2 linked regions of the Schizosaccharomyces pombe genome follow. Changing the gene in region 1 together with any one later gene gives a genetic interaction. Each region holds a gene or a part of one and is shown on either strand. Other genes may lie near its edges. The genes, in order: erf4 and bcp1.

Region 1 (3,162 bases):
ATCATGTTTTTGCTGAGGAAGCTCATTTCTATCAGTTTGATCCTTGTGGTAAGAAGGGAAAAGTTGTTGGTCAAATTTGTAACCAGTTTGAACAGCTGCTAAAGTTAGTAAAAACTGCTTTCATCTAAACAGGAAAAAAGGTAGAAAGGAAGTAGTTTCTATAAAAACAGTTTTCCATTAAAAGTATAAACATGAAGAAAGAGTGCTTTATAGAAATTTTTGATTAAGGTATTAATAAACAAATCCACTCATTTTTTTTTTTTAAATTTGATTCACGTACCTTTGCGACTAAATGATTGTTAGTTATTATACAAAAAGACTAAAAAAGAGTTAAATCATCAAATGCCGTGCTGCAGTACAATTGTATTATAAGTTTTCAAAAAAGTACTTAGACCTTTAAGCCCTGTCTCTTACAAAAAAAGATAGCAGAACAATCAGCATTTTGGATAATTCAACGTTTAAAAGTAAAAAATTGGATTAAACTTACACTCTGGCTCCAACATCAAAAAGAGTAGTTTGAACTAGCTGGGGAAGTTCGTCATGATCGGGAAGCTTGAACGTTTCAGACATCCTGGATAAGTAAAACAATTAAAAAGTATCAAACAGGGGGAAATTGACAAAGTATAGTTAAATATAGGTAAAGACGGAGTGGTGAATCACAAATGCTAGCAATTACCAATCGCAGAGCAATCTTTTAATTTTCAATGATTAGGTGGTAGATGGTAAGTAGTTTGGGGTTGCGATTGTAGATCATACGAATTTTCTGTGACTCGAGACAGGTAACACTTTTTCTATTGTTTACCTATGGAAAAAAAAAACAAAACAGTGTAATGCGATACATATTTCCTTTAAACAGTTATGTTATGGGTATCATGAGAAACTAAATTTTCATCTTCGTAAAGGAGGGTTCTTTTTTAATCGTCTTTCTTGGAATTTCTTCAAATCATGAATTCAACTTGCATAAATGGATAAGAAAAGTTGGTTGTAAGAATCTATAGATATATATTTAGCATGTTTCTTTTATTTAAACGAATATTCCTTTTAGAAGCGAGTAAGCTTCAAGTCGTATAGAACGCAGACGATATTAAGCCTAATAGGATCTTTAACGCTTAACTTAATAGCAAGCACAATGAGTTTTAGATAGCTGAGTACTTTAAAGCAACCTAACTTCCCTTGCAGCTAAAAAAGTTTATTGAACTTGATTTAAGACGCTCTTCTTGGACTGAGCAAGGACTTCAAAAAAGCCCGCATTCGTTGTCAAAGTTTTATCTCATCTAACGACTAAAGTAATATGAGTCAATGCTCATATAATATACAGTCGAATATTTTTTATATTTTATTACATTTATTTTCCCAAGTAGTTTTTCCAGTTCATTCTAAGTAACTTTTATCGTAGATGAAATATATCCTGTAGAGAGCTTTTATCCTCTTCCTGAACGAGCAATACGTTTTATTAATTTTCAATTCCTCAACAACTAAAACCACATCCTTTTATCAATCTTAATTTTCACTATAAATCCGTTCAAATTACCTAGTGACAAACTGTGTGGTTTTTGTTTCAAATCTGAAACTCACTCAATTAATCATAATGATTTTTTAAAATGAGTTATCATTGCCCATTTTACAGCTATTCACTCAATTAATCACTCAATTCTGACATTTAATACGTTTGTTTGTTTAGTTCCGGTTATATGATCAATCGATGAACTCATGAGTGTTTTATAATTTTTTAGTCATTTTTAACGTTGTTTAACTTATAACTTTCCTGTTTATTTATTTTTTTTCTTGTGCTCTACCGAATCCCAGTTTCATTATACATATTCTCTAATCCGTCTTCTAATATTGTACACTTGAACCTAGAGCTAGGGAATCCACCAAGCTTCATTTCAGTAGGTTTTTTCGATGCTTGTTCGCATTGAAAGGGATTATTCGGTTTCAGGAGATAAATATCCTCAATTTCCAACCGATTATCCTGTACCTCTTCGAGCTTATGTGAATCTTGAGGATTGGGATGTATTCATTCACACATTAAACGAGAAACTGAGAGAAGCCTTCTGTCCATGGTCAATTGGAAATCTATTAGATGGAATTCTATCTGTTTTAACGATTTATATCTCGGAGTTCGTATTTGGCAGTATTCATCGTAAAAGAATTGGGGCGATCGATTTGTACATCCTGGACTTTGCAACCCAACATAATTTATACGTTGCCAGCCTTCGCAATATGGGGTTTTTGAGTCTCGTTTTTCATACAAAAGAAACAAATTCGAAAAGTAGTACTCTCCATTCCAATCCGTACTGCCCGGAGCACCATTCTATACGAACACTTCCCTCTGCCGTGACTGCCACCACTTCAAATATCTCAACTTCTAGTTCTCACAGAAGTGATCTGCCAAACGAATGGACGAATTCGACCCTTTAGACGCTGTGCAACAAATTCATGTTCAAGCAAGACACCCGTAAGTCTCAATTTGCTATACAAATAAGCTGGCAGAATCAAAAGACTTAGAAAATGATTGCTACCTTTATAAACGCACAAGCAATTAATGCAAATTGTAAGAAAAAACGATGGATAGCTGCTATTAAATTTTCATGAAAAATTTTTAGCCTAATCGCCATTTGTTGGATTTCGTACTGATATATATTTTTGCTGATTTTTACTTGTTTTTCCTTTTTGCCTTGCTTTTCTTTTATTTGTATGTCATCGAATGGAAAATTTGGCTAACACTAATTTCAAGAAAGAATCGGTTGCTGTCAATTGCACACGATGCCAAGTTTGTCGACTCAGTTATAGCTTCGTACCCCACATTTAAACCTGTTGTAAATGAACGATGCGGTACGTGGTATGTCAACCGACGACATGCTCCGATTTCTGTTTATTTCAAAAGTACTGATGGTCATACCGGGCAATGGTCTTTTAGCTGTCGTCGTCTCAATTTGCATTTGCTAAATGAGATAACCACTTGTGATGGATTGATTATAGTAGATTCTACTCGTCGTGGAAAGAGAATGCCCGATGCTCTATCAAAGACGATTCCGATATGGATTGCTACGCTCAATAAATGTGTTTTCGAACGGCTTCGTCCCCATTCCTTTCCTAATGCTCGTTTGGCCTTTTTACCCCCGTTTTTACCTGATACAGAAAAATCATCTATTTTACAGA
Region 2 (3,777 bases), on another chromosome or scaffold:
TTGTTTTGAATACAGGTATAAGGAAAACGGAGAGACAACCGAAGAATATGTTGCTCGATTAGCTAAAGAGCTTGAGGATGAAATTCTTCGCGTTGGTCCTGAAAAGGTGGCAGCGTTTGTGGCGGAGACAGTATCCGGTGCTTGCACAGGTTGTGCTACCCCTGTCCCTGGCTATTTCAAAGCAATGAGAAAGGTTTGTGACAAGTACGGAGTGATCTTTTACCTCGACGAGGTTATGTCGGGTATTGGCCGTACGGGAACAATGCATGCATGGGAGCAAGAGGGTGTGACACCTGACATTCAATCTATTGCCAAATGTTTAGGAGGTGGTTATCAACCCATTTCTGGAGCGCTTGTTGGTCATCGTATTATGAACGTGTTTGAGCAAAAAGATGCTGCCATGGCTGGTTTTTTTACATATCAAGCCCACCCAATTGCTTGTTCTGCTGCCCTGGCGGTGCAAACTATTTTAAGACGAGATCATCTTGTTGAAAGGGCAGCAGAAATGGGTAAATACCTTTCGGAAAAATTACATGAGACTTTTGACTCTCATCCCAACGTGGGAAATATTCGAGGCCGCGGTTTGTTTTGGGGACTCGAGATCGTTAAAGACAAAGCTACCAAGGAATGTTTCCCTCCTGAATACAAAGTTGGTTCTCTCGCCAACAAAATAGGTTGCGAGCATGGTGTTTTCGTTTATCCAGGCATGGGTACAATTGATGGCACCAGAGGAGACCACGTATTGCTGGCTCCTCCGTATATTATCACTCGCGAGCAAATAGATGAACTAGTGGAGGCTCTTAGCAAAACCATTACATCTACAGTTGCGGCCCTTCCTTGAATGTACGCAAGTTAACGAAATTCCTCTTTATCAGTTATAATGTTTCAGATAATTTGGATATACTTATGTTAGAAGACCTTTGGTCATGGTATAATAATTAATTTTATATGAAATGAATTTACAATGCATTAATATACTTTCTCCGCTACGACCCTTCGTTGTAATAAAATTGATAATTCCATACGGCTATAGGGTAGACGATGGCTCGCAATCATTTGAAAACATGTTCTCTGCGTAAACGCGTTTCTATATAGTTTGAATCAACAAACGTAAAAAACAAAAAAAAACTTGGACAAGCCAGAACTCGAATCTGGGACCTCTTCCATGCTAAGGAAGCGTGATAACCATCTACACCACATGCCCATTTTATTATACATTACACATTTATAGTATATTACAAGCATAGTAGGCAGTATACCATAATTTCAACTATTTAATGTATAATAAATAGACACATTATTAGCCAAACAGTTTGGATTGTTTTTGGGTTATTTTCATAATGTAGAACCAGTTGCTAATACTTCGATACAAGTTTAATTTTAAAGTAATATATGTCTATTATTTTACCTCTTCATCCAAGCATCGATGGTGTAGCGGTAACATCAATGCCTTCCAAGCATTAGCTCCGGGTTCGACTCCCGGTCGATGCAATGTTTTTAGCCTTTTTATAAAAAAAATGCAATGTTAGTTTAATAAAGACGATAGCCTCGCTTGCTAACATCATGTTTTATAGTCTTGGCTTACTTCCTTAGAATCTTTACTACGATTGCTACATTGACATTGCATGCAAATCAGTTCCTAGCTGATGGATCCGTTCTACAATTGACGAACAAAAGATATTTGAAATTTGTTAATAAATTAATTGTTATTTTATTTATATTTCTGTAACGCTGTCGAGACGGACAATCAGAGAAAATGCTGTTACAGTTTACGAAAGACCATTTTTTAAAGCCATACTAGTAAAAACGACACCATGTTAATAATGATTTGACTAGAAATTTTATGAAAGAAAACATTCTTTAGTCATAGTAGGATGCAAAGCTATTCCGATTGTATAAGCAGGGGAAGATCGGTTCCCTATCGATCGTTTGAAAGGTCAGCTAAATACGCTAAATACGATTTTACGGGATCACATTGGTAATGTTGTAAAGTAATATCAAAGCGAAGCTAACAAATTGGTAATATTTATGTCGTGATTCTTCACTACCTGTACTTTCTTCCTACACCAGAAAGAAAATCTCAGGTGTTATTGTAAAATTGTTTTTATTTTGGTACCGAAATTCTGAAAGTTGAGTAGTAAAAAGTTCAGAGTACTTCATCCTGAACAGAGTTTCACTACTTTGATCATTTTATCTAGCCTTTACAAGTTAAAGCGATTTAATACTGATCAGCATTGACACCAACGTTTTTGGTTTTACAGGTGTTGTTTAGAATATAAATTTATATACTGCAGCTCTGCATCAACCTTTCTCCTTCCCCTCTAGCATTTTTCTTGCACACTTTAAGCCTGTCAATGGACGCCCCCAGAAGATCTAGCAGATTGGCAGCCAAGATTGCAAACGTCTTGGATAGCAAAGGAACGATTATTCCTGAAGCTGCTCCAGTAATGCTGAAAAAGCCTGCAAAAGATGAATCAGTTGATTCAACTATTCAAGTGGGAGACGTAATTCCCGATATCACTTTGCCTGACGAAGATGGAACTTCCATTCGACTTCGCGATATTACTGCAAATAAAGGGCTTGTAATTTTTGCCTACCCAAAAGCTAGTACTCCTGGCTGCACGAAACAAGGTTGTGGTTTTCGTGATAACTATCCTAAGATACAGGCCTCTGATTATGAAGTTTTAGGGTTGTCTTTCGATACTAGCAAAGCTCAAAAAGCTTTCAAGGATAAGCAAAACTTTCCTTATCATTTGCTTTCGGATCCTAAAGGTGAGCTAATTAAAAAGTTAGGCGCTGAGAAGCCTGGTGGTGGAAAGCTGTTTAGAAGCCATTGGATCTTTGAGAAAGGTACTGGCAAATGCATAGTGAAGGAAATTGACATATCACCTCTTGTCAGTGTTGACAAAGCCTTTGCTGTAATCACTGATTCTGAACCTTAGTTGACAAATTGTCTACGCTCATTGTCAAATTTGGAGGATAGTCTACATGCCTATTGCTATATGATTCATGATGAAATTACACTTTTTTATGTCTTGCTACAATGTGCTTCAACCCTGAAGATACATTCAAATATGATCACTACACAATTTTATACAAGTTGATGGTCCAAGTTAGTGTTGTTCTTATTTTAGTAACGTTGAGATTAGATTAAATAGTTGCCGTATATCTAATACAAATATAGCTCCAGCAACGGTGTAGATTTTTGGTTCATTACGGTTAGAAATCGTAAATCATTATTTTTTAACAAATAACTCATTTTGATTAGAAAAGTTGGAAGTTTCATAAAAAGAGGGAAATCTTCCTGTATTCGTTTATCTTTGTTAGTGCTTTATGGTAAATATTTGCGGTCGTAAACAGAAATTCGCTCTTTACAGCCCACAATCAAATGCTCCAACTTATCGACGGGTGAGTTGATCCAAAGAATATCTGATAAATCAGTAATTTCCTCTTGAGCTTCTCTGCTAGGTAAGCTTTCGAGAGTTGAAAGTTTATCGTCCTGCCTCAAGAAAAAGACTCTTCCATCAGATGCACTAATCGCGAATTCCGGACGATTTACAGCAAACGCAATACCAGTCAAAGAGACTTTGCTAATCGATTTCTCTGCAAGCAATTCCTCACTCTTTACATCGAACACTCGCACCATGCCATTTTCATGCAGAGAATATAAGCGATCAGGGTTACCATTTTTCCATACGATCTTGTTGATCCTGTCTTTAACAGCCGGATTACCAATAGCAGAATTTCCAGCAATGCGCATTTGGCTTACAAGAATTT

The links.
Region 2: mutations in erf4 (region 1) and bcp1 together harm fitness less than expected from each alone (positive genetic interaction), as found in Schizosaccharomyces pombe (one large-scale study listed by BioGRID).

What each region holds. Positions count from the first base shown.
Region 1 is NC_003424.3:2,827,925-2,831,086, reverse strand, and holds erf4 (palmitoyltransferase complex subunit Erf4), read left to right. Parts: upstream 1-1,902; coding exon 1,903-2,421; downstream 2,422-3,162. Other genes in the region: spd2 (ribonucleotide reductase (RNR) inhibitor family), read right to left, coding at 1-95, 281-288, 488-570; rit1 (initiator methionine tRNA 2'-O-ribosyl phosphate transferase), read left to right, coding at 2,400-2,458, 2,738-3,162. UniProt on the Schizosaccharomyces pombe protein: The erf2-erf4 complex is a palmitoyltransferase with a major role in driving sexual development. Palmitoylates ras1. Palmitoylates isp3. Palmitoylates rho3.
Region 2 is NC_003423.3:283,103-286,879, reverse strand, and holds bcp1 (thioredoxin peroxidase), read left to right. Parts: upstream 1-2,063; 5' UTR 2,064-2,354; coding exon 2,355-2,942; 3' UTR 2,943-3,277; downstream 3,278-3,777. Other genes in the region: SPOM_SPBC1773.03C (aminotransferase), read left to right, coding at 1-841; csc3 (WD repeat-containing protein), read right to left, coding at 3,332-3,777. UniProt on the Schizosaccharomyces pombe protein: Thiol-specific peroxidase that catalyzes the reduction of hydrogen peroxide and organic hydroperoxides to water and alcohols, respectively.